Callithrix jacchus: one gene and its partners. The protein of the gene in region 1 purifies or fractionates together with the protein of each later gene. This does not show direct contact. Links are inferred from orthologs where the notes say so. Each region holds a gene or a part of one and is shown in the gene's direction. Other genes may lie near its edges.

Region 1 (4,036 bases):
ATTAACGGTGGGGAGGAAGTACATTAGTGTAGCCAGGCAGGGGAGGACCGTGTAAGGGGGCAAGTCAGCTGAGAACTTTAGGATGAAAAAGGTAGGAGGAAGAGTTTTCTGGGCCAAGGAAAGGGCAAGTGCATAAGTCCTGAGGCAGGAACTAGCTGGGCTCCTGAAGAAATGCAAAGGTTAGTGCAGGCGATGCTGACCACGGAGGTCTAGGCCAAGGCTGGAGACGCCATGGCAAGCTAGGAGAAGGATTTACCCAAGGGGGTAAAGCCGATCCTATTCAATACAGGCTTCCCAGGGGGCAAGGGCCAAGCTGCCCAGCTCTCCAGCGCGGGTTCTTTCCACTGGGCTAAGCTGCCCGGCTCAGGGCTCCGGGGCGACCGTCAGGAGAGGTTCCCGGCCCCGGGGCCAAAGGGCCACTACGGCTCGCGGCGGGTGGGGAACCTGACCTCCAGAGTGTCGTAAGCTCCGGGCAACGCTGACAGACGGCGCGGGTCATTCGCAACCAACAAGCATCCCCCTCACCAGGACCCAATCACCTCCGCCTTTAATTCCCATTAGCGCCCCCGACCCGCCTCAGCACCCGCCCCCGGGCGGCCTTGCTTGGTTTTTCATCCTGGGAGGCGGATCCGTCGCCCAAAAGTTCAGAATGACTGCATCCCTTTCCCTTAAGAGCGATGAGGAGACGAAATAAATTGGGTTCAGGGCGACGTCCTATGGAAAACAGCCCTCTGTATTTTTGTCTGGTTTTCCCCCACGGCTTTCCAGAAAAGACTCGTTTCTCGGTACGCTCTCCAAGTCACCCCCTCCAACAGCGAGTTCGTTGGTTTGGCCTGTCAACCCGGATTGGCTGAAGCCTTACACCTCGGCCATGGATTGGCTTCTTACCATTCTCCGCGCCCATTGGTTGGGTTTCCCCGCTTCTGGGCGGAGTGGTGAGGGCCGGTTTCCGCCCCCTTGTTTACTGAGCGCGTAGTTGTAGCGCTCGCCGAGCTCTGGGGCTGTCTCCAAAGTTCCCTATTTAGCTCCTCCGGCCAATTGGGGCCTCGCTCCACCCTCGACCTCTCCCTCGCCCGCCTTCCGCGTGGTACGGCCCACACCTTTAGAGCTGCGGCGCGTGTGGGCGCCTGTCGCCCTCCTCCGCCCGCGATCGCCGAGCCCCCCCCCTTCGAAGGTGCGCTTGGTACGGCCCGCGCCGCCTCCTTTCCTCGCCGGGGTGGCCGTCCCTCTCCCCCCAGTCGGCGGCGCTTGGTGCCGCCCGGGAGAACCAGGTCATCCGTCGGTTCCCGTGAAAACAAAAACAATCGGCCGCGCAGCCGCGGGCACCCGAACGCCACGAGCGGGACCCGGGGACGCGGGGCCGGGTGGAGGGAGCGAACGGGGGCGGCGGCGACACGCCGGAGGGCGAGAGCGCCATGGGGCAGGCGGGCTACTGCTGCGCGGGGCTCCCCCGGCGCCGCGGCTAGTGCGCACGCCGCCTCGGCCGCCTCAGCCTCCCGCGCCGCCCGCCTGGGGGACGAGGAGCAGGACGCGGCCTCGGCAGGGCCCGGGCCGAACGGCTGCGGACACCCGGGCGCCTGGGAGCCGAGCGCCGCCTCCGGCATGGATCAATGCGTGACGGTGGAGCGTGAGCTGGAGAAGGTGCTGCACAAGTTCTCGGGCTACGGGCAGCTGTGCGAGCGCGGCCTGGAGGAGCTCATCGACTACACCGGCGGCCTCAAGCACGAGATCCTGCAGAGCCAGGGTAGGGCGCCTGTGTAGGCGCGCGGGGCAGGGCCCACCGCTCGAGCCCCGGCCCCCGCCTCCCTTGGAAGCGCGGAGGTCCCCAGACCCCTGAGACTTTTCCTCCTCTTTTCACTCGATTTACCTCGAACCTGCCGCGCGATCTCGTTGCTAATTCAGGAGTGCGAACCACCCGGAAACTCGGCCGGGAGCCGCGGGCTCCAGTCCGGATAAACGTGGGTGAGGGGGCCGTTTGCCGCACCTGCAAGGTGCCGCCTTCCTTGAGTGGGCGCCCCTGGCCCCCCGCCGGCCCCGAGGATCTCACGTGGTGCCCGCGGCTCAGTCCTGCGGGCGGGCAGTGAGCGAATCGCCTGGGATCCCAGGCTCCGAGTGATGAGGGCAGTGCAGGAATCCCTCTTCCCCCTCTGTGCCGCCCCGAATCCTTGCCCAGGAGACTTCGTCGTTTTTCCGTCTTTTTATTTTGGAAAGTCGAGCGTTATTCTTAGCTGTGGGTTAACAACAGCCGCTCCTGCAACTTATGATTTGACTGCCCTGTGGACGCAGCTCTTGTGAACTCCGCAGCGGCTCTGACGTGGTTCCTAGGAACCGTTCCGCTCCCCTATTGTAGCTTCTGATAACACCAAGGAGGAACGGGCGACGTTTGCCCAAGCACATTTTGGTACATGTTGCTAGTTACTTGCTTTGTCTGGTCAAGTTCTTCCTTTTTTAAAAAAATAGATTTTTCTGTTTCTCCTAGATTATTATTACCCCAAGCCCAGGGGACAGGTACTTTGCCAGAGTTAATTTAACGTATGAAAGCTGGTTGGGAAGGTTTTTGTTTTTTTTGTTGGTTTTTTTCAAATAACATTAAAGGTTTAGTTTCCTTACACATGAAAAATTACAGCGATGATTCCTTTTGATCAAGAAGTACAGGACTTTTTAAATGGGTTTATAAAAGAGGCTGAGGGGGCTTCTCAGTTATGGGCTGAACAGAAATTTATGTGAAGAAAGGTTGGGTAGCTGGGGGAGATGCAGATATTTGTGGCAGGTGAGATGAGGGCAGTGGTGTTAGCTGAGCTTCTCTCTCCTCCTCCATTTTTTTCACACTTTCACCCAGACTGCATTTCAGTTGAGGAAGGGTGGTGGTCCATGGGAAAAGAGTCTTAAAGCAACTTCTCATTTTAGACACTGCAGACATTTTTGTACTTTCGGAAGGAAGGAACCTGCAGTCATAGTGGATGGGATATTAATATGGAAAAAGCATTAATTCTCGTAGGAGTTGCAGTACTAATATGGAAAAACGAGCAGATTTTGGTGGCTGCCTGTGAAGGGAAATTTGACTGACGTGGTGAGGATAATATAGTTGGTACAGGGAAGTGAAGGTGGAATGGGACAGGAATCTTGGGAAGACTTTGAAATTGGTTTTGTACGTGTGAGGTAAAGTTGGAAGGGCTTAATGATGATAGAGTCCGAGGGCTCTCGTATTTACTGGTGGCTGGAGATGCATAGGTCTAAGACTGTTTTCTGATGTCATTTCTAAGAGGACAGTGGAGGGGATCACTTAGGATGCAAAGAAGAAAGACTAGGGTCTAACCACAATCTTGAATTTCCCTTGGCGCGTAGAGGGCCTAGGCTAGATAGAGCCAGCAGAAACCAAAAAGGGCGGGGTTAAGAAAAAGAGGTTGGTCGGCATTTATTTGGTTATTGGAAGTCAGCAGTTTCATAGAATTGCTAAGACAAGCCAGATTACTGGGGGTTAAGAAGAAAAACGTGATGTGAACCTAAGTGTGGGAAATACAATACAGTGATGGGAAGTGTTACCTCTGCTCCCGACCCCGCCAAGGAACCAGTGGAGGAAGAGAATGAAGGGACTGTTGGAGAGGTGGAAGGAACATTTCCTTTTTACGGACCAGGCCATAGGCAGGGTTTGAGAGGAAAACGATGCAACAGGATGTACCTTTCTTCCATGAGAGAGGATGTAAGTTGAAGGGGCATATTATTGTGGGCTTTGTTTTAGAAAATTTAGGACCACTCTCAGATGGAGAAAATGACTGTGAGGAATTGCTAAGGCAAGAATTTGTTTTTTACCTCTTCACTGGGTACTAGGGAACTTTTCTCAGAATTTATCGTCAGAAGGGTATTGGCCACACAGTATGCTATGCTGTTAAAAACAGTCTGACTTGGTGAGTTTGTGTGTTCCTTTTTCAGACTCCTAATTTTTTCCCTTTTGTCTTCCAAATTGCTAGTCTTATATTGGTATCTCTTTGATTTCCTTTAATTCTTTAATAATAGGGTTAAGTGACAAAAGGTAGTT
Region 2 (3,500 bases), on another chromosome or scaffold:
AAAAAGTATTCTACCCCAAAATCCACCCCTGGAACCTTGGAGAATTGGTGTAAAAGAGACAAATGACTGAGTCAGTTGGAGAACCAGTGGCTTAAGGGAATACTAGCAGGAAACACAGTGATTTTGGAGTCTCTTTGTGTCTAACCTTGAAAAGTAAAATCTACCAAGTTATGATCTGCTTTGTATGCTAGAATATTCCAAATTTACTTGTGGAAACATCCAAATTCTTTTCTAAGAGACTAGCATTAACAAGTGAAGTCAAAGAAGGGCTGTCCGCTGTTGGCAAAATCCAGGACACCCTTCATTCTCTGGGCGATTTAGATTCAGGTCCATTGCCACAGCCTGTTGGCAAACTGGCTGGATCTAACTGGTTTGGATTATCAGGTAGCAATGTCAAGGTACTGGAAAGAAGTTAAAGCAAAGTTGATTCTTCTTTTGTAAAAAGGTTAAAAACTCTCAGTCAACATCTTGTTTTGATATTTGGGTTTTTACCATAGGAGTATCCAACCCTTACGACCTTCTTTGAAGGAGAAATAATCAGCAAAAAACACCCTTTCTTAACTCGCAAGTGGGATGCAGATGAAGATGTTGATCGGAAACACTGGGTGAGTAAATCTGATCTGCGCTGGGTCTTCCAGGGACTGCTAGAGAACTGAAGAAATTCTGGGAGCCAGAGACCTTGTCTTTTATTGTGGATTATCGGGCTTTGCAGCCAAGTGAAAGGCTGTGCTGCACAAAAACCTCAGTTGTTCTATCTTCCTTATGAGGAGAGTTTAAATAGGATCTGACCTGCTGCTTAAATAGCAAATGGTTGTCTGATGATAGCAGCCCCAGAGTTCCAGCCAGAACTTTGCTTGGCTATCAGAATCTGAGCAGTGTCCCCCTATCCTTCCCATCTGTTTGCCCTTCTTCTGTCCACTGTTCCTTTCAAATCACTTCTGCTTGGGGAAAGCCCTGTGAAACATCTGACAGTGACCTCCAGCTTTGGGGCTGGCATGAGGTGAGATGGAGATGATGGTCTGGAAATCTGCCCTCCTGCTGGCTTAACAGGGCAGAGCCGCATCGTTTCTTTTTATCCTGGCTCCTGACAAATGAGTATAGTCTTGTCTTAAGTACACCACTATAAATCCTGGCTGCCCCTCACTCCTTTAACTGTCAGGTATAGAGCATTCTCACTCAGCAGTAGTGAATGCTTCAAGACAATTCAGAGTTAGTGTCCCAGGGTCTTTTCATTGGTTGTCATTTAAGTACCGCATCTTCAAAAATCAAGTTTCTCAATCCGTCTAATTGTCTTTTGCTTAGTTGACCATGGTGATGATGAATTTTTGTTTAACACTGGAAGAAGTTCAGTGTGTTTACCCTCCATAAACCAACCAGAGATGCTGTGTCAGTAATGAAGATTATAGGACTCGTTCTTCCCATTGCCTCTCACACCTGGCTGTCTAGACTCTCCTCTGGTTCTGGCACAGCAGTCTGTGGAAGGAACTCTTGTAGACCCTTGTCATGAGTTTACCTCACTAGAGATCAGTTGCTTTGTTTATTAATGTTTTTTATTTTTTTATTTTATTTAAAAAAATTTTTTTAGAGTTTGGGTCCTGCTCTGTTACCCATGCTGGAGTGCAATGGTGGATTACAGCTCACTGCAGCCTCAACCTCCTGGGCTCAAGTAATCTTCCCACCTCAGCCCCTGAGTAGCTAGAACTACAGGCATGTGCCACCACACGCAGCTCATTTTCTTTTAGTTTTGCAGAGACAAGGTCTCACTATGTTACCCAGGCTGGTCTTGAACTCCTGGCCTCAAGTAATCCTCCTGCCTTGGCTTCCCAGAGTGCTGGGATTATAGGTGTGAGCCACTGCACCCAACCTGTTTTTTGGTTTTTCTTTTTTGGGGGGTTTTTGTTTTGTTTTGAGACAGAGTCTCACTGTGTCACTCAGGCTGGCGAACAGTGATACAATCTCAGCTCCCTGCACCCTCCACCTCCCAGATTCAAGTGATTCTCATCTCTCAGTCTCTTAAATAGCTGGGATTACAGGTATGCACCACTGCACCTGGCTAATTTTTGTATTTTTAGTAGAGAGAGCATTTCGCCATGTTGGCCAGGCTGGTCTCAAACTCCTGGCCTCAAGTAATCCACCCACCTTGGCCTCCCAAAGTGCTGGGATTATAGGCATGAGCCACCAGGCTCAGCCCCAAGCTGTTTTTTATTTGAGTTAGAAGAGGAGATCTATCAAATCCTGAGTTTAAGTTAAATTTAAATTTAAACTTGAGCTTTTTAAAGCATTTTTTTGAAAGCTATACATTTTGACTGTTATAGCAAATGGACACTAAAAGCTAGACAGTCATTTGTGTCTCTCTGGGACACAAGAGAATGCACAAGACCTGAGTATCCAGAAGGTTGGGAGAGTCCAAGTGGTGTATCAAGGTGCTGGGTACCAGCAGGTGGAGTTGGAAGGGCTCCCTGGTACCATCTGTGCCCACCTCTGCCCAGGGCTAGGCTCTTCCTGCATGGCTTGCTGCCTCACGAGATGGCTTCTTCCTCTCCTAGACAGCCCCAGAGTAAAAGCTTCTTCCTTGTGGTAAACCACAGCCTCTCTCCCATTCAACTCTGTTGTCCATTTCATATTGGTCCTGCAAAAAGCAAAGTCTTTGAGGCCCAGTGACACTCAGTTTTAGGCTAGGTTGACTACAAATTAAATAATGGGAAAGCACGTCTTATTTTCCCATTGACTTCCATTAGAACATTGGAAGGTATCTGGGTCTGCAGACTCTGCTAGAGTGGATTGAAACATTTTGGGTGAGAGAGGAACTAAGGCAGCCACCCTTGGTACTGGCATGTGAAGTGTGGCTGAACAAGGGAGCTGAGTTTGTGGAGTGCTTCCTCCTCCAACAGTTTGTGGCTGCTTTTGTACTAGTCAGCATTTCCCCTAACTTTCCCCACTCGTGGAGGACTCCCAGGTTCCTGTGTGGGACTTCTGGAGCTCTGTACTGCACCTGGGTTAGTCTGGGATTTACAATGTTTAATACACTTCACCTAGGCTGTCATTTTTGCATTGTAAATTAGAATCAGAGATATTATACTGTGCCCTCAGATTTTCCTGAGTGGTATTTAAGTGGCAATTATGGTGATGCTATAAAGTCAATATTCCATATATTCAATCTACATAGGATAAAAACGTCTATGTGATGCTGGGCACTTTGGCTCACGCCTGTAATCTTAGCACTTTGGGAGGCCGAGGCAGGTGGATCACCTGAAGTCAGGAATTTGAGACTAGCCTGGTCAACATGGTGAAAACCCATCTCTACCAAAAATATAAAAATTAGCCAGGCATGGTGGCACATGCCTATAATCCAAGCTACTCGGGTGGCTGAGGCAGGAGAGTCACTTGAACCCGGGAGGCAGAGGTTGCAGTGAGCCAAGATCACGCCACTGCACTCAAGCCTGGGCAACAAGAGTGAAACTCTGTCTTTAAAAAAAAAAAAAAAAAAGCTATGTGACAAA
Region 3 (4,159 bases), on another chromosome or scaffold:
GGGCGAGGACAGCCCCCAACCCCCTCCCACCCATTGCGTCCCGGAGCCCGCAGGCCTCGCTGGACGCTGCCACCTCTGGGGACCACCAGGCCGACCGTCCAGCTTTGGGACCCAGGCTTTCCCACTTCGGCCTGCCAGGGCTTGTGGCTCTCCCACTGCGTGGCCAGGCGTGGAGAGCCGGCCCGACCGGACGGACGGAAGCGCCCCGCAGCCCCGGGGCGGAGGGCAGGGGTCTCGCCAGTCTGCCCGTCGGGACCCGCGGGGCCGAGATCCTGAGAAGCCACCCGGCCAGGGGCCGGCAGAGCGGCCGCGGCGGGGGCACCGGGCGCCGCCCCTCCCAGGCCCGAAGCCCCGGTCTGGTGGGGCGGGGCTGGCACGGGCGGGAGCCGCTGACACCCGGCCACCGAGCCACGGGCCACGGTGCAGCGGGGGCCGCGGGGCTGCGCCGCCAGGGTCACGTGGCGCGAAGTCCCCCCGCGTGGCCACCATCCCTGTGGTGTGTGGGACCCCAGAGGCGCCCGGGCTCCCCGCTGTGTGGTGTCCCACCCTGGGAGAACCCCGGGTGCGTGGCGTGGCCCGCCAGCCGTCCCAGCTGGTTTGCGGTCGAGCGGGGAGCCTGTGGGTTTCTGGGCCCCGGCGGCGGCGAGACGGGCGCCTTCCCAGCAGCGCAGGAAGCGGCCTCGGCCGGAAGGGGGCCCCGGGCGCCGCCACCACCGCCTCCGCCTCCGCCCGCGCTAGCGGCCGTCGGCGGGCAAGGCCGAGCGGGGCCGAGTCGAGTCGAGCACGGCCGAGCAGAGCCGAGTCCCGGGCGAGCGGAGCCGAGTCGTAGCAGGGCGGGTCCTAGCGCAGCCGAATCCCGGGCGAGCGGAGCCGAGCGCGGCCGAGTCCGGGCGGGGAGCGCGCGTTCCTGGAAGAGCCCGGCTGGGGAGCGGGTCACATTCTTGGCCGGCGCTCTGGCTGAGGCGGACGCACAGCAACAAACAGCGCGGGGGGCGGGGCCGGCGCGGGGCGGAGCGGGCGGCGCGGGGCGGGGCGGCGCGGCGGCGGCGTGAGCTCAGCGCCGGGCGCTCAGTCCGAGCCGAAGCGAGCCGCCGGGAGGATGTTCGCCGAGCGCCCCAAGCCCCGCGCCGCCGCCGCCGCGCTCTGAGGGCCGCGGGCGAGAGGCGCCTCCGCCGCCCCAGAAGCCGGGCGGGCGGGCCGCGGAGCCGGCGGGCGGGCGGGCCGGGGGCCGGCGGCGGGCGCGACGCGGCCGGCCAGCGCCGCCGGGACGAGCCGGGCGGGCGCCGCGCGGTGGGAGGAGCGGGGCGGCGGCGGCGCGCCGCGCGAGGACGGCCCGGCGGGCCCCGCGCCCGCGCCCCCGCTCCTCCCGGGCCCCTCGGCCTCGGCCGCCGCGGCGATTCGCGCCTCTCGGCGCCGCCACCTGCCCGCGCGCCCCCCGCGAGCCCCGGGCCCGCGAGCGTTGGCGTTGGCGTTGGCGGCGCGCGCCGGGGCATGCCCCGCGCCTAGAGCCCGGGGGGCGCGCGGGGGACGCGCGGGGGGCCCGGGCGGCGGCGGGCGCGGCGCGGGGCGCGTGGATGTGGCGCCGGGCCCGGGCGGCGGCGGACTCCAGCGGCGGGACCCCTTCGCCCCGCCCGCCTTCCCCTTCGCGCCCCCGGGCGAGGCCGCGGCCGTGATCGGTCGTGAGCCGGCGGCAGGGGGCGGCCGGGGTCGGGGCCGCGGACGCCGCCGGGGCGCGCGGGGCGGCGGCGGGGGCCGGGGGGGCCCGGGCGCGCGGGAGCGGGAGCGGCCCGGGGAGCCGGAGCGCACCATGGAAGCGGCGGCGGGCGGCCGCGGCGGCTTCCAGCCGCACCCGGGGCTGCAGAAGACGCTGGAACAGTTCCACCTGAGCTCCATGAGCTCGTTGGGCGGCCCGGCCGCCTTCTCGGCGCGCTGGGCGCAGGAGGCCTACAAGAAGGAGAGCGCCAAGGAGGCGGGCGCGGCCGCGGTGCCCGCGCCGGTGCCCGCAGCCGCGGAGCCGCCGCCCGTGCTGCACCTGCCCGCCATCCAGCCGCCGCCGCCCGTGCTGCCCGGGCCCTTCTTCATGCCGTCCGACCGCTCCACGGAGCGCTGCGAGACGGTGCTAGAGGGCGAGACCATCTCGTGCTTCGTGGTGGGAGGGGAGAAGCGCCTGTGCCTGCCACAAATCCTCAACTCGGTGCTGCGCGACTTCTCGCTGCAGCAGATCAACTCGGTGTGCGACGAGCTCCACATCTACTGCTCGCGCTGCACGGCCGACCAGCTGGAGATCCTCAAAGTCATGGGCATCCTGCCCTTCTCGGCGCCCTCGTGCGGGCTCATCACCAAGACGGACGCCGAGCGCCTGTGTAACGCGCTGCTCTACGGCGGCGCCTACCCGCCGCCCTGCAAGAAGGAGCTGGCCGCCAGCCTGGCGCTGGGCCTGGAGCTCAGCGAGCGCAGCGTCCGCGTGTACCACGAGTGCTTCGGCAAGTGCAAGGGGCTGCTGGTGCCTGAGCTTTACAGCAGCCCAAGCGCCGCCTGCATTCAGTGCCTGGACTGCCGCCTCATGTACCCGCCGCACAAGTTCGTGGTGCACTCGCACAAGGCCCTGGAGAACCGGACCTGCCACTGGGGCTTCGACTCGGCCAACTGGCGGGCCTACATCCTGCTGAGCCAGGACTACACCGGCAAGGAGGAGCAGGCGCGCCTCGGCCGCTGCCTGGACGACGTGAAGGAGAAGTTCGACTATGGCAGCAAGTACAAGCGGCGGGTGCCCCGGGTGAGTGGCCCCAGGCCTGGGCGCGGGGTGGGGCCGGTGCGTTGGGTGGGGGGGCACCTCCTGGGCCTTGCGCTCCGGGCTCCGAAGGCCGGGACCTGTGTTCTGCCTCACTCCTGTCTCAAGGCTTCGGTTCGTTTAGGGGAAATTCAGAGCGTTCCCTTGGGCAGGGCCAGTGGGTTTGGAAGGAAGCCCTCCTGCCGGTTCCTCAGGACGAGCCTGGGCGGGGCTGGTGGCGGTGGGGTGCGGGGCCAGGCTTGGTGTGTGGGAAAGGCCCACAGCCATTGCCCAGATAGGCCAGGAAGGCACAGGCCTCTTGTGCTGCCGAGAAAGCGGCCTGTCCCGAGGTCAGGGAAGTTCCATCCAGCCGTACTGCGGCTGGATGCCTCAGGCCCGGGTCTTCCTTGGGGTTGGGGTGAAGGTGGCTGCCCTTACCCCGAAGCTTCCCAGCTTTGAGCCCCAGGAGACAGAGCTCGGGCCAGGCGAGGCCTGGTTTTGTTACTGGCTCTGCTCCCTGTTTGGTGTCCTGAAGTTTTGGGACACAGACCCAAAATGAAGCCAGGTGTCCGGCGTTAGTGGCGGAGGGCCGAGACTCAGCAGCCCCAGCACTGTGCTGGTTCGTCTCCCTGGGCCTGCCAGGGAGCAAATCCCAGAGTCCCCCGTGCAGGGTGAGGGCCACTTGGCACCCAGCTGAGGGCCTGGTCAGCAGGCTCCTGGGCCCGAGTGCTGGAGTTCCTGGCGGCCTGCGATTTGTTTTGGACTCACCCGTTTCCTTCTCTCCCTCTGAAGCGCAGAGGGACACGCCAGGGAGGGAGACTGTCAGCCCGGCTTTGTTGTTTGCCAGTTGGAGGATCTGGAGGATCCGGCGTGGGCAGCTCCCAGGCCATAAGGCACCGACATTACCCAGTGGGGTCCTCAGGAACTTTCCGTTGCATACCTTCCCAAGTATTTGTAACTTTTTTTTAAATATGCAGGCTTATTAAATTGCACACACAGAATGCTGCATTGGCTCAGCTATTCTTGGGAGGCCTAATTAATTCAGCTATTGCATCAAACTTTTTTTTTGAAATCTGTGAATAGATGCTCCAGCCCGGTTTTCTCTGGGCGGCCCTCCAGCAGAGTGTCAGATCGTGGGGAGGAGGGGCTGTGGATGGAAGCGAGGGACTGTCGCCTCTGCTTGGAGGGGGCTGCGGAGAGTGTGCGCGCGCGTGTATGCCTGTTCAGGGGCGCTCTGGCCCTGCCAGGCCAGAGCCTTGGTGCAGCTGCTTGCAGACCTGTGGGCTGTGGAAGGATGCTCCCGGCGGGGCTGCTGACAGACCCAGCAGGCTGGGGCCTTTCGTGTCACACGGGGAGTTGGCTGGGGTGGGCATGATGGCGTACCCTGTG
Region 4 (4,300 bases), on another chromosome or scaffold:
TGTGTTTTGTTTTCTGTTTTCATTTTTTTCAAGGAGAAGAAAACTAAGGCCTAGAGAGGTTAAGGGTCCTGACAAATGCAGTGCAGCATGAGGATTTTAGAACTGAGACTAAAGCCCAGGCTTGGCCAGGTTTCCCTGTGACTGCACCCTGCTGGGAAGGAGCTATAGGATGGAGGGCAGAGGGGACGTGCCGTGGTCTAACGCTGTGACTCTCTTTGTTTTAAAAGCATGCCCAGCAAGATCGGGCCCTCACCCAGACAGATAGGAAGATAGAAACTGAGGTTGCTGGCCTCAAAACCATGCTTGAGTCACACAAGCTTGATAATATTAAATATTTAGCAGGTAAGCTATTTTATATCTATTTAAATCAACCTGAAAAGAAAATAAATTTATAAAATAAGTTGACAGAAACTGCATTGATTCCAGCTCTTTTTGAAATACTTTAATATCTCTCAAATTGGAAGGCATTTTACAATTTCCAGGAGATGAAGTGTCATCCTTTAATTGGCATCTTTTCTTTCTTAGTAGTAAAGTAATGGTGTACTTTCGTAATGGATAGAATCCGAAATCTGATAAGATACTGTCATCGAACTGTAGTTATTTGGGATCTTTTGTTTGTTTGTTAGTTTTTGAGATGCAGTTTCCCTCTTGCTGCCCAGGCTGGAGTACAATGGCGAGATCTCAGCTCACCACAACCTCTGCCTCCTGGGTTCAAGAGATTCTGCCTCAGCCTCCCAAGTAGCTGGGATTACAGACATGTACCACCATGCCTGGCTAATTTTGTATTTTTAGTAGAGACGGGGTTTCTCCCTGTTGTTCAGGCTGGTCTCCAACTCCTGACCTCAGGTGATCCTCTTTGGCCTCCCAGAGTGTTAGGATTATAGGTGTGAGCCACTGCACCCAGCCTTGTTTTTTTGTTTTTTGAGACAGAGTTTTGCTCTTGTAGCCCAGGCTGCAGTGCAGTGATGCAATCTTGGCTCACTGAAACCTCTACCTTCTGGTTTCAAGTGATACTCCTGCCTCATCCTCCCCAGTAGCTGGGATTACAGGTGGCCCCCACCACCCCCACCTAATTTTTGTATTTTTAGTGGAGACGGGGTTTCACCATGTTTGCCAGGCTGCTCATGAACTCCTGACCTCAAGTGATCTGCCTCCCTTAGCCTTCCAAAGTGCTGGGATTACAGGTGTAAGCCATTGCACCTGGTCGTGTGTGTTTTCTTAATAAAAAGATATTCCCTCAAGTAGCTCTTAGTAGAACTAATAGTATTCTTGAATTGTTTTTTTTCTTACAGGGTCTATCTTTACGTGCCTAACAGTGGCTCTGGGATTTTATCGTCTGTGGATCTAATAAAGTGTCTATTTAAAGAGATTTCTGTTTTGCCTTAAGAATCCCAGATTGTTGTCCTTTTGTTTTCTTGTCACAAATTTGAAACCGGATTTTAGCTTACTGCATATTATTTATTTTTATGCGAATTATGGACCCATAACCAGGATAAAGAAGTCAGCTATTCCATAGTTATTCCTTTCCTCCTCTCTGCTTAGTCGACGTTCTGACTTAGCGGCGGACAGCACATGGAAGACCCTACTCAGCTGGACCAGGGAGCCTGGTCTCGCCTGTGGTGCACTCCAACAGCAGACATTGGTGTAATTCTCTGCATTTGTGGTCTTCATGGTCAGGGCACAATGGCTTTAATCAGTACTGGAAAATCGCTAAAGCTGAACCAAGAGCACCAGATCCTCTTTACCTAAACACCCAGTCTTTAACACGAGCTGGTCCCTGTACCCGAGGATTGTTGCAGCCGTAGTGGGTTGTTGTGTTAATAGGACAGCTGTGCCTCTACCTTCTCTTCTTTTGATTTCCATTGTCTTGTTAAGTTATTGTCAGGGTTATTTTTAATGTGCCTTCCAGCTAGAAAAATCAGCTGTCTAATGAAGCATTGCAATTGTAATGGGGACTCTTGCCTCTTAGAATGCAAGATTTTCCCTCCTCCCTCCCTCTTCTCCATCTGTTTCCCTCGTGATTTGAGAACTGTAATAATATTCCACTGGCGGCATTACCTACCTAGAAAACCTGCTGATTCTTTGCATGGAACGCTGCTTCAGTTTGCAGGACAAAGTCCACTTCCTTCTGGTCTTCAGTTACTTTTTATACAAGGGAGGCACTCAGCTCTCCATGTGTAAGATACCTAGATGATGGATACGTATTTCATAAATGAAATTTATTTCATTAATGAGTATCCCCTTGCCCCCATCCAGCTCAGGCTTTCAAAATTCGAGATGGTCCTGCCACACAGCATCCTAATCTAGATTGAGTAATTCTGTTAAAAACATTCTTATACCTCCCTTATCTTCATACCGAAAACAAGTAAATTCTAGATACAACTGGGCTTATTCTGGAGAAGCACAGTCTCATTTAATTTACTGGCACATGGGCAAGAATAAGCATTTTAGAGACAATGACACTGACAAAACTTTTTCTGCCTTTCTCTGCATACACATGTACATAGTCTGGTACAGTGGGGGAGTCACAGGAAGACTTCCTGATCAGCTCGGTGAATACATTACTCATTGTTAATGTTCCAAGCACATTGATTAAACAAAAATAGTTACCTTTTGTCCTTTGGATGTCATTTCTAACTTTTGGAAAATTAAGTCATTGTCCTTTTAGAGAATGTACATAGAGAGCTCAGAATTACATAGAGATTCTGAGCTCTCTATGTAATATGAAAGTCAAATATTTTTGCATGAGCAATAGCAGTTTTAGAGTGCAATATTATAGTTCAATCTTTTTCAAGTAGATCAAAAATTATCTTAACTGATTAATAAAGTATTTTATCAATATATTGTCCCCCTTTCAGAGGAAAGTCCTCAGAAGAGACTGCACACTTAGCAGTCGCCCTCATTATCAAAGGCCAAGGTGAGTGGCATCCCACCACATTCGGACCAGCTTCATGTCAGTATAACGGCCTAGAGCTTGGAGAAGGGCCATGGAGCACAGACACCCTTGTCAAGTCACACATCCAAGAGGAAAAGGGCCATATGCAATTATGTTTCAAGGTAAACACTAACCTTGTATAGGTTAAAAACAGTGAAGCGTCTTTGTATCCTGATAAATTTTTTTTAAATAACATGGTGGGGTGACATTTTTGAATCTGCTAAAAGTTTTCTCACATTCTTCCTGGTGATAACGGGCTGCATCATGCTGGCACTTCATTTGAGTGTTTGATTTTGCTGTAGAATTCTTTGCAGTACAGCAGAGCCTGTTTTTGGCCTTGGGAATTGAACTCTTCTTTTGATGATATGGATTGCATGCATATCTGGAGTGAGAAGGGTTCAGGACTGCGTTCACTTTATTTAGTGAAATGTATTCCATTTGAAAGGCATTTGAGTCCAAAATACAAGTGTACCCTTCCCACTTCTGGATCAAGCATCTGTGAGCAGACTAGATGAAGTATTCAGACTTCCTGAGGCTGGGTGCAGTGGCTCATGCCTATAATTCCAGCACCTTGAGGGCCAAGGTGGCAGATCACTCGAGGTCAGGAGTTGGAGATCAGCCTGGCCAACATGGCGAAACCCTACCTCTACTAAAAATACAAAAATGAGCCAGGTGTGGTGGCACGCACCTGTAATCCCACCTACTTGGGAGGATGAGGCAGGAAAATAGCATCCACCCCAGAGGCAGAAGTTGCAGTGAGCTGTGAAGATCTGCCTGGGCGATAGAGCAAGACTCCACCTCTAAATAAATAAATAAATAAAACCTCCTGAGCTACCTGGGCTTATACGGATTCAGATTACTTTAGGAAATTAGGCATTAGCACTAGGAAAGGGGAAGGTGCCTAGAAAAACTTCTAGCTAGCAATGTATGTCTAGCACACAGGGAAATCAACAATAGTGAGATCCTGAACACATCCCTCCAGGTGCTGGTGGAGGGAACGTGGTGCAATGCCTGAAGCAGAACCTCACATGGACAGAATGTATTTCCTTCTTGTTCTTACAGGGCTCCTCTGCATTCCTGCTTCTCTTCCCTCCCCTCTCCTCCCTCCCCTGCCCTTTATCTTTTCTAAAGCGACTGAACTCCAATTTCCATGCTTTCCTGCTATGTTAATAGGCAAAACCCGCTTGCGTGTATGGTTCTTTGCTGGAAACACGACTTTTCGTTTCTGTATTGGTTTTACTGTCAGCCAGTGTTCTAGCTTAATATCTAGCAAAACTAAATCTGAATGTACTCGCTTTTTCCATTAAGTATGCCAAGCACCTCAGTTGAAAGGCTTGACTCAAACCAGAAGTCTTGCTGGAATTC
Region 5 (3,500 bases), on another chromosome or scaffold:
AGAACAGATTCAGGAGGAGAATGCTGTCCCTGGCTAGGGAAAAGTCTAGTTATGGGGACGTGACATGAAATGGCCAGTTGTGAGCATGGCCTGTATGCAGCCACGTGCAAGAAAGTATGGGGGATGACATTGCGGGCAGTGACAGTCAAGGCAAGTTTGCTGGACGAGGCGGGCTTTGCCTGTGGTGTGGAGGATGGAAGGGGGAAGAAAGGAACTGAGAGGTCCAGTGCAAAGCCGGTGGTAGGCTGAAGCCAGCATACAGGAAAAGCTCCTACACCTTGTGCAGGTACAAAAGTGCATGGTTGGCCGGAGGTGGTGGTTCACTCCTGTAATCCCAGCACTTTGGGAGGCCAAGGCAGGCGGATCATCTGAGGTTGGGAGTTTGAGACCAGCCTGACCAACATGGAGAAACCGCATCTCTACTAAAAATACAAAATTAGCCGGGCATGGTGGTGCATGCCTTTAATCCCAGCTAACTTGGGAGGCTGAGGCAGGAGAATTGCTTGAACCCAGGAGGTGGAGGTTACAGTAAGTGGAGATTGCACCATTGCACTCCAACCTGGACAACAAGAGCAAGATTCCATCTCAAAAAAAAAAAAAAAGTGCATGGTACTCAAGAAGGAACATGGCTTGAGCATGGAGGTAGAGTGGACTGGGAGGCTCAGGGAAGGCCATCTGCAGTGACAGTGGGGAGGAGGTTGGCGAGGCTCTGGACAGTAGCAGCCAGGAGCCACAGGAACCACAAAGTGAGGGAGGGACCGGGCAAAAGCCAGTCATGGCAGGGGCTAGGTGGAAAGCAGGGAGCCCCACACCCTACTGGCCAGATCCTCCTCTTAGCAAGCCTCTAACAGGAAAGGCAGCTTCTCTTCACCCTTTGCCAGTGCCAGGGGTCTAGACCACCAGTTCCCTTTTGCCATGCTCCCCTCCTCCCTTCCTTCCTGCGTCATTCCATCTCTGCCCACCCCCTCTTTTTTTTTTTTTTTTTTTAGACAAGGACTGTCACCCAGGCTGGGTTGCAGTAGCATAATCACAGCTCACTCACTGCAGCCTCAATTTCCTGGGATCAAGCAATCTTCCCACCTCAGCCTCCTGAGTAGCTGGGACCAGAAGTGTACACCACCACACCTTGCTATTTTAATTTTTTTATTTTTTGTAGAGACAGGGTCTCACTTTGTTGCCCAGGCTGGTCTCGAAATCCTGGACTCAAGCAGTCCTCCTAACTTGGCTTCCCAATATTCTGGGATTACAGGCATGAGCCACCGTGCCCAGCCTCATGTGTCTATTTTTTGTGGCAGAGATATCCTCGGCCCTGGATCTTTCCAAGAGGAGCCATGATCCACCATTGCAGCAGACCTTCATGGGCACGTCTGCAGGGTTGTGACACCCAGCCCATCTCTGTATGCCTTGGCTGCGTTCCAGAAGGGGTTCTTGGGCCTTGAGGACACAATGGCCTCTGATGCAGGGCGGGACACTTTCCATGTTGTGCCTTGCTTGCTTTTCTTTTGCTTTCTCCCCTCAAGCTTTGTGGTATAGTGTGTCTGCTAGGGAGGTAGGCAGGAAGGTGGCTCTGCCCTGCCTCCTCCAGCCTTGCTGCAACTCTCCCAGCCCGAGCATGGGCCAGCAGCAGCCATGGAGGTGAGGTGAGGTGAGGCGAGGCCTTGCCACCCCGCTGCCCTCAGGGCCTGACTGACATTTCATTCTCCTCCTCAGGCCAACCTCTACCCCACCGTAGGCCTGCAGACACCTGGGGAGATTGTGGACGCCAACTTTGGGCAGCAGCCCTTCCTGTTTGACATTGAGGACTACATGCGGGAGTGGCGTGCCAAGGTCCAGGGCACAGTCCACTGCTTCCCCATCAGTGCCCGGCTTGGCGAGTGGCAGGCAGTGCTGCAGAAGTGAGTGCCCTGCTCCCGCCCTTACCTACTCCCACCCCACCCCAGCCCTCTCCACTCTAGGCCCCTGTAGTGCTACAAGCAGTCCTTAGAAATTCCAGTTGGTGGATCCTGTCTGGGAAGTATTCCTAGGGCGATTCAACTTGCAGCTCTCCCATTTCCCTCTTATTGGATGGACAGCTTCCGATGAGTTCTCCAGGCTGCTCCTAATTAAACCTTTGCCCCTCAGCCAGATTGGAGGCTCCTGTGTATAAGATCACCAGCAGGGCTGTTTTCCTTCCCCAGGTCATTTTGCAGAGGATTTTGCAGAGGATGCCCTGTGGTCTCTTCCTCTGTGGACCCTTTTCTACCATAGGGAGTATCCATCATGCCGTGACTCTGGCCTGAGGCCACCTCACAGGGCCCAGCATCCAACTGAGTCTCATTCGTCTATAGCAGTGGTGGAGGGAAGGGAGTCCTCCTAGGACCAGCTGAGCTAGCTCCTTGGCTGATAAATTCCCAGACTGTCCTGCAAGCCAGTGTTGCTGAAACTCCCAAGGGAGGCCAGCTTTGGGTCTCTCTTCTACTTGTCATCTGCAAGCCTGAGTGAGGCAGTGACCAGTACCCACTCTGCTAGGAGGTGGGTGTTAGCTTGGCTCCCAAGGATGGGCAGATGGGCATGGGGAAGGGCTGGGCTTCTGCTACCTCTGGTCATTGCCCTGCAAAGGCACCAGGGTGCTAGGGTCCCCTTGGGTGGGGTTGGGGGGCACACTGGGTTCTTTCTGCAGCCTTTGTCTCTTGAGGCAGGCCCCAAGGGTGGGCTGAGGCAGGGGCTAGGTGACCAGACCTTCCCCAGGAAGAACAGCATTGCTGCCTTTTGTTCCCAGCCCTCCAGAACAGATGACAAGGACTTCCTTGGATGGCCAGGACTGTGCCACTCCCATAGCAGGCTTGCTGGGATGGGCAAGGAGAGGAGTGAAGCTGCCAAGGCTGTGTAGGGGAGGAACTGATGCTCTCAGTTTTCAGGGCCTAGGCTCAGCATATGGATGTGTTTTTGTTTTTGGGTTTTTAAAAAAATATTGAGATCGGGGTCGCACTACGTTGCCCAGGTTGGACTCCTGGGCTCAAGTGATCCTCCCACCTCAGCTTCCTGAGTAGCTGGCATCACAGGCATGTGCTACCATGTGTGGCATAGCACATGAGTGTTTTTGTTTACATGTGTGTATCCATGTGCTTGTATGTGTTTATATGTAGCATTTGCCAAGACCTGGATATAATTTGTGTACTATGGTTTTACATAACTTCATTTAGTGAATATTGATAATGGCTATGTTATCTCAGAGAAAAATTTGTCACAAGCCTTTCGGCTGGCTTCCTTTAGTGGAAGGTCAGGTAATTTCCTCTCTTTTACTTGTGTAGGTAACCCACTTATAGATAAATAATATTTTATATTTACCTTTGTGTTTATAATAATAATATGGTGTAATAATAATTATATTTATTTTATTTTTTTTCCTGAGTCAGGATTTCACTCTATTGCCCAGGCTGGAGTGCAGTGACAGTCATGGATCACTGCATCAGCCTCCTGGGCTCAAGCAGTCCTCCTACCTCAGTCTCCTGAGTAACTGG
Region 6 (2,843 bases), on another chromosome or scaffold:
AACTGATACCCCATGCCTTCTGAGATGATACACTGAGGACACACAGTATCACGTGTATAGTATTCTTGCCAAAACTGCATAAACTGAATCTGATGATCAAGAAACAGGCAACCCAAATTTAACACATTCTATTCATAAATGTTCTGTAGTCTTCAAAAATATCAGTGTCATAAAAGACAGAGGCTGAGGAACCATTTCAGACTCAAGAGACTTGGAAAAATGCATTGTGTGATCTTAGATTGGATTTTAGATTAGTAGGAAACATGACTGTAAAAAAGTGACTGAAAAATGGTACTATTGGGACATTGGTGTTAAATTTCATGAATTTAATATATATTAGTTATGTAAGTGAATGTTCTTGTTCTTAGCTGAAATCAGTTTGAGCATGTAGGGGCCAAAGGTGACTACAACTTACTCCCAGATAGTTCCACAAAAAGATTTTCAGTGGGGTGTACACACGAGAGAGAGAGAGAGAGAGAGAGAGAGAGAGAGAGAGAGAGAGAGAGAACGAGAGAACGAGAACATATTTGGTGAAACTAATGGTGAACCTAAGTGAAGGCAGTATGGGGTGTTCATTGCACGATTCTTGAAACCTTTCTTTGGGTTTGAAATTTTTCAAAATAAAAAGTTGAAAAATGAAGCAATTTGGAAATTTTTTTTTAAAGCATAAAATAGAAAAGACTCTAATCTCACTGTCAGAGATAACCTTTGTTAATATTTTGGAGTATTTCTTTCCATTCACTTCCATGATAGCATAGTGGGCTTTGTTAAACTCAAGCTCATCTCAAATAAACATTTACCCTCAAACTTAAAACAATATATTTTTTAAAATAAAAAGGAATGTGCTGTTCTTGAGGTATTGTTTATGTTCCTTCCAGGAAACTGGTATCCTTGGCAATGTTATGGTCTATTCCTGTTCTTTTACAAGATTAAAACAGATTGGACCTAAAATTGTATTCTAAGTTGAATGGAAATAAGTCTGGTTTGAAGTCGCCTTCACTGAACACCATGGCATGTGTAACTCTTTATGGCTTTGTTTCTATTTCTCACAGCACTCAGCAGGGCTCTCATGCCTCCGCCATTTCAGGAATAGGGGAAATCATTTATTTTATCACTTAAATATCTCCGTTGTATTTAAGAAATCTGAAGCAGCTGAGATAAATATACCAACTGATGAAGACAGCATCTCACTGAATGTTCCTTTAGCTGGAGTAAACTTAATTGAATGTTTTTTAGAGGTTACAGGGGAAAATCCTTTAGATTAACAGTCCCTACCTTTTAAAAATGCCATACATATGTTTTCTAATATTTACTAGGATAAAAGTAGTTCATTGCCCTATCCTCACATAATGTGTGCCTAGTAAGAGGTATGGTGTTTATTATGTGCAGGTACCATTTTACATATTGTACATGTATCTCTTTCCCTCAGTCATCTCTGTTATCACTCAGTTCTCGGAGACTACTTCCAGCTGTCTCTGAGACATTAATGATTTTAGACTAATTTCTAGAGATCCCTTTCATTTTGATTTTATTATATTTTTATTACCAAAAAAAAATTTAGTGGTTCAGAAGCATTAACAAGTAGAAAAGACAAGTGGAATTTTCTCAGTGGACTTGCAGAGGAACAACCTTGTAAGGAAGAGAAGAGAAATCAATATCATTTAGTGACTGAAGTGCCAGTCCTTCTGCTAGTTGTTTTTCATGTAATTGCATTTAATCTGCACAATAACTATATGAAGTAAATACTATTATCACATATGTACAGCTGAGGAAACAAAGTCTGAAAGCCAGAAAGTCTGACGAATTTACCCTAAGATCATACCATAGCCAAGTAGTAGAACTGGGGTCAGATCAGTAGTTTCTGTCTGGTTTTGAAGCCTGATTTGCTTTATCCATTATAAAGTACATTACTGCTAGTCTCAACTAGTTTTTCTGTTACATGTTTTAAACACAATGGATGTTTCTTTGTATCTTCTTCACCAGGCTTTTCTGATGTGGATCACACCTATGCTCAAAGAACTCAGCTCTTTGACACCTTAGTAAATTTCTTTCCTGACAGCATGACTCCTCCTAAAGGCAACCTGGTAGACCTCATTACACTGTAACTGAAGAGTCACTGGACACAGAAATGGAAAAACAGGAGTCGAATTTCCGTCTTTTGGATTGCAGCTCCATTGACTGACAATAAAGCTGCAGTGATTGAGGACTGCACCAGAGTTCTGAAGGGATCTTAACCATCACAGGTTTTTACCCTTTTCCTTCATACCTGACCTCAACCCCACTCTCTTCATCCTGTTCCTAAATTAGGCTAATAAAGTGAAATTGGTATACTTTCCAGTTAAATATATATATTTTTTCTTATGTTATCTTTTAAGAATTAATGAGTATAAAAGGAAAATTAGGCAGTTTACCCTTTTCAGAATTTTCTTTCCTTTTTTTTTTAATTGGGGAAATAAGCACTATTAACAGATTCAGCACTACAAGTATTTTGAATGTTGTTGCTGTTGGTCATTTGGCCTGCCTTCTCATCCCTTCCCACTTCACTTCACCTCCCGTCACACAACTGCGTATAAGTGGTGTCACTTGTTTACCTCTTTACTTTATTCTTAACAAGTGTATAGTTCTCTAGGACAGGTGATGTATGTTAAGGTGATATCTGTGTCTGTGCTGACTTGTATTGTGTTATGTTAAACAGTAGGCAGAATTGAGGGCTCAAGTTTGCACTCTTGGCCATAGTACTAAAAATGAAACCTGAGATTGACCCAAGCACCTATCTGAGATTGGTATATAATATTTCTATAATGATATTTTATAGTAGATATTTCAATAGCATCTGACTTTGA
Region 7 (3,500 bases), on another chromosome or scaffold:
CTCTAGATTCAGAGCAGTAGCATTTCTAGATTTCTAGTTTGAATATAAGATCTGGCAGCACATGGCATTTGATTGAGAGTCTTCATATTTTGGAGACCCAACAGGAAGTGGTAGATGATGTGGACTCTGATGATGCTGTTTCTACAGAGACCACTTGTGGACAACTTTCAGATGTACACTTTTGATAAACCCTGAGAATATGATAGTTCTTTTTTTCAAAACCTCTTCTAGATTTTTTTCCAGATGTTTCTTTCTTTAATTAGCAGATGAGATAAACAAATGACCATTGAATTAATATAAACTCAACCAATCATGTTTTTATTATGTGGACTGCACAGCCTTTTTTGGTCACATTGAGCCTTGATTAAATTTTTTTAGTCTTTTTGTTTATTAAGTTCCTTCTTTTTAGATTGTTGTACTTGCTTCAGCAAGAAACCTCAACCACAGAGCTGAAAACTGAATGTGCAGTGGTGTTGGGAAGTCTTGCTATGGGTACTGAAAACAATGTCAAGTCTCTACTGGACTGCCATATTATCCCTGCCTTATTGCAAGGTATGTAGGGAAGCCATTTTTTGCTCAAGTAAAGATAAGAATCAGTTTACAGTACTTTAAATACTGGTTGAGAGGATTAGTCCTAAATTTAGTTTCTGTTAATAGGACTACTGTCCCCAGACCTGAAGTTTATTGAAGCTTGTCTCCGATGCCTGCGCACCATTTTCACCAGTCCTGTCACTCCAGAGGAGCTACTGTATACAGTGAGTTTTAGATGTATTTGAGATATTAGTTGCATTTCACTAACAGCCTACTCCTAATTTGCTTGGCATCTTTAGACTCATCATAACTATGTTGTATAAAAAAGCCTCAGCTGGGCATGGTGGCTCACACCTGTAATCTCGGTGCTTTGGGAGGCTGAGGTGGGAGCATTGCTCGAGGCCAGGAGTTCAAGACCAACCAGAGTGATGTAACAAGACTCCATCTCTAATGAAAAAAATAAAAATAAAAATAAATTAGCCTGGTGCAATGGTGCATGCCTATAGTCCTAGCTACTCATGAGACTGCAGTGGAAGGATTGCTTGAGTCTAGGAGTTTGAGGTTATAGTAAGCTATGAGGTGCCACTGCACCTCAGCCTGTGTGACAGAGCAAGATCCTGTAACTTAAAACAAAAAAATAATAAAAGTCTCTGCCAGGTGTGGTGGTTCACGCCTGTAATCCTAGGAGTTCGTGAGGTCAAGGCGGATATAGTACCTGAGGCCAGGAGTTAAGACCAGACTGGCCAACACGGTGAAACTCCGTCTCCATTAAAACTACAAAAATTAACTGTACATGGTGGCACATAGCTGCAACCCCAGCTTCTTGGGAGGCTGAGCCATGAAAATCACTTGAACCCAGGAGACAGACATTGCAGTGATTGGAGATCACCACCCCACTCCAGCCTGGGTGACAGTACAGACTCTGACTCTAATAAATAAAGTCTCAAAAACTGTTTGAGTTCTTGCCTCACTATACATGTGAATTTGTGTGTGTGTGTGTGTGTATGTAGGTATGTATGTATATGTGAAAGAATCCTGAGACAAGTTTCTTGACATAGTTCCACAGATGAAATGCCCTCTGGTTTCTGTGTTGTCATTTTTCATTCTTCAAAAAAATGGTGATTGTGATTATCTGAGCCAACATAACAAATTATGTTGTTAAATTGTGCACACAGGAGTCAGAGATCTTACCCAGAATTAGGCTTTTTAAGTATTTCAAGACTAGAAGTAATAAAGAGGCATAGGCAAAGCAAGCATAGAGAAGAGACATGTCACATGGCTCCCTAGCCTGTCCTTTCTACATCAGACACATACTCCGCTGGCCCTTAATGATACATAAGGTGGTCGGTAGATGAGATTTATGGGTTACCTCACATAGGGAGCACCTAAATTATGAAAATTCTTTTATTTTATTTATTTTTGATAGGGAGCTTTGCTCTGTCACCCATGATGGAGTGCAGTGGCTCAGTCTTGACTCACTGAAACCTCTGCCTACCAGGTTCAGGTGATTCTCCTGCCTCAGCCTCCTGGGTAGCTGGGATTACAGGTGCATGCCACCATGCCCGGCTAATTTTTTTTGTATTTTTAGTAGAGACGAGGTTTCACCATGTTGGCCAGCCTGGTCCTGAACCCCTGACCTCATGATCCGCCTGCCTTGGCCTCCCAAACTGCTAGGATTGCAGGTGTGAGCTGCTGCACGTGGCCTAACATCTTTATTTTATACCTCATAGTTTTATGTGAGATTCTTCAGGGAGTCATACCTCATATATCTATAGATTGTTTACTGCAGTGGTTCTCAGATTTGAGGTTGCACTAGAATTACGTGGAGGGCTTGTCAAACAGGGATTGCTAAACCCCACCTCCGGTTTCTGATCCAGTGAGTTTTGGGTGTGGCCTGAGAATTTGCATTTCTAACAAATTTCCAGGTTCTCTCTTTAAGAGTTACTACTTTACTGTAGACATCCTGCTTAAAGCTTTCCATAGAGGACTTAGTAAATATCAGTTTATTTTCCTGTAGTTCATATGGTAATGTTTGCAGAGATTAAGCCAGTCACCTGTCTTATTTACCCTGGAAGTTTCTCACCTACCCTCAATCCCATAATAAGGGGAGAAGTTGATCCTGGCCAACTACTTTAACTCCTCCCACCTCACTCTCTAAACTGATTTTTGTCCTACTAATGGATCATGGTGCACAATTTGGAAAATTCTGGTCTATGCCAACTGTTTTACATGAGAAAAATTGAGACCCAGGGAGGTTAAATTTAGATAGAATATCTAAATTATGAATCATCTCAATTTTGTGCCTCAGATATTTTATACCTCAGAGACAGTGGAGAATTTGTAAAGAGTTGGATTGGGGAATAACTAGCAGCAGTGTTTCAGTGTATTAATTGACTTCTATGAGTTGGGGTGTATAAAAGCCAGCTGTTTGAGCAACTCAGGCTGTAGAATAGAGATGGGGTAGGTAGTCCAGTAAGAAGATGGCAGGATTTCTAGTTTGAAATTGTGTTTATTAGGTGGGTGATTTTGGGTAAATTTTGTATTCAATAATTGTTCTTTGCCTTATTTAATCATCTGTAAACTGTAGATATATAGACACAATTAACAGAAAGGGGGCAGATATGAAAAAATGGGATGGGGGCTATTGTAACTGAGGGAAATTGAGGAATGCAAGAACATTAGAGGAAAAGAAGGAGGTGGAAATAGCTTTAGGAGCCTAATAGAGACTTTTTAATCTACTTCTCTACCTTTTCTATCTTAGCTGCTATGTACTTCACCATTCTTTGCTCAAAGTAGAGTCTGTAGGCCAATGGCATCAGCCTCATTTGGAAGCTGACTCTTAGGATCCTACCCCAGACCTACAGTATCAAAGTACATTAAGAACATCTCCTGGGAATTTGCATGCACATTCCTTCTTGGGAAGCATAGCTCTTGTGATGTCATTGACTGGGAAGCTTGAGCTAAGTCTT

What was found.
Region 2: the proteins of RMND5A (region 1) and GID4 purify together in Homo sapiens (affinity purification with mass spectrometry; 4 studies listed by BioGRID and IntAct, counting the BioPlex papers as one, with this or other methods). This does not show direct contact. The link is inferred for Callithrix jacchus from reciprocal best matches to the Homo sapiens genes RMND5A and GID4.
Region 3: the proteins of RMND5A (region 1) and SKI purify together in Homo sapiens (affinity purification with mass spectrometry; 3 studies listed by BioGRID and IntAct, counting the BioPlex papers as one, with this or other methods). This does not show direct contact. The link is inferred for Callithrix jacchus from reciprocal best matches to the Homo sapiens genes RMND5A and SKI.
Region 4: the proteins of RMND5A (region 1) and RANBP9 purify together in Homo sapiens (affinity purification with mass spectrometry; 9 studies listed by BioGRID and IntAct, counting the BioPlex papers as one, with this or other methods). This does not show direct contact. The link is inferred for Callithrix jacchus from reciprocal best matches to the Homo sapiens genes RMND5A and RANBP9.
Region 5: the proteins of RMND5A (region 1) and RANBP10 purify together in Homo sapiens (affinity purification with mass spectrometry; 4 studies listed by BioGRID and IntAct, counting the BioPlex papers as one, with this or other methods). This does not show direct contact. The link is inferred for Callithrix jacchus from reciprocal best matches to the Homo sapiens genes RMND5A and RANBP10.
Region 6: the proteins of RMND5A (region 1) and MKLN1 purify together in Homo sapiens (affinity purification with mass spectrometry; 4 studies listed by BioGRID and IntAct, counting the BioPlex papers as one, with this or other methods). This does not show direct contact. The link is inferred for Callithrix jacchus from reciprocal best matches to the Homo sapiens genes RMND5A and MKLN1.
Region 7: the proteins of RMND5A (region 1) and ARMC8 purify together in Homo sapiens (affinity purification with mass spectrometry; 5 studies listed by BioGRID and IntAct, counting the BioPlex papers as one, with this or other methods). This does not show direct contact. The link is inferred for Callithrix jacchus from reciprocal best matches to the Homo sapiens genes RMND5A and ARMC8.

The regions. Positions count from the first base shown.
Region 1 is NC_133515.1:26,282,044-26,286,079, reverse strand, and holds the start of RMND5A (E3 ubiquitin-protein transferase RMND5A), read left to right. Parts: upstream 1-1,236; 5' UTR 1,237-1,602; coding exon 1,603-1,744; intron 1,745-4,036.
Region 2 is NC_133506.1:69,100,987-69,104,486, reverse strand, and holds the end of GID4 (glucose-induced degradation protein 4 homolog), read left to right. Parts: intron 1-497; coding exon 498-605; intron 606-2,738; coding exon 2,739-3,062; 3' UTR 3,063-3,133; downstream 3,134-3,500.
Region 3 is NC_133508.1:40,279,012-40,283,170, forward strand, and holds the start of SKI (ski oncogene), read left to right. Parts: upstream 1-1,359; 5' UTR 1,360-1,807; coding exon 1,808-2,776; intron 2,777-4,159. UniProt on the Homo sapiens protein: May play a role in terminal differentiation of skeletal muscle cells but not in the determination of cells to the myogenic lineage. Functions as a repressor of TGF-beta signaling.
Region 4 is NC_133505.1:16,876,230-16,880,529, forward strand, and holds the start of RANBP9 (ran-binding protein 9), read left to right. Parts: upstream 1-1,500; 5' UTR 1,501-2,858; coding exon of another isoform or gene 2,859-2,890; 5' UTR 2,891-4,300. Other genes in the region: MCUR1 (mitochondrial calcium uniporter regulator 1), read left to right, coding at 228-342, 1,293-1,348. UniProt on the Homo sapiens protein: May act as scaffolding protein, and as adapter protein to couple membrane receptors to intracellular signaling pathways. Acts as a mediator of cell spreading and actin cytoskeleton rearrangement.
Region 5 is NC_133521.1:25,248,456-25,251,955, reverse strand, and holds part of RANBP10 (ran-binding protein 10), read left to right. Parts: intron 1-1,710; coding exon 1,711-1,895; intron 1,896-3,500. UniProt on the Homo sapiens protein: May act as an adapter protein to couple membrane receptors to intracellular signaling pathways.
Region 6 is NC_133512.1:115,724,455-115,727,297, reverse strand, and holds the end of MKLN1 (muskelin), read left to right. Parts: intron 1-1,983; coding exon 1,984-2,105; 3' UTR 2,106-2,343; downstream 2,344-2,843. UniProt on the Homo sapiens protein: Component of the CTLH E3 ubiquitin-protein ligase complex that selectively accepts ubiquitin from UBE2H and mediates ubiquitination and subsequent proteasomal degradation of the transcription factor HBP1.
Region 7 is NC_133518.1:46,106,229-46,109,728, reverse strand, and holds part of ARMC8 (armadillo repeat-containing protein 8), read left to right. Parts: intron 1-409; coding exon 410-552; intron 553-657; coding exon 658-755; intron 756-3,500. UniProt on the Homo sapiens protein: Component of the CTLH E3 ubiquitin-protein ligase complex that selectively accepts ubiquitin from UBE2H and mediates ubiquitination and subsequent proteasomal degradation of the transcription factor HBP1.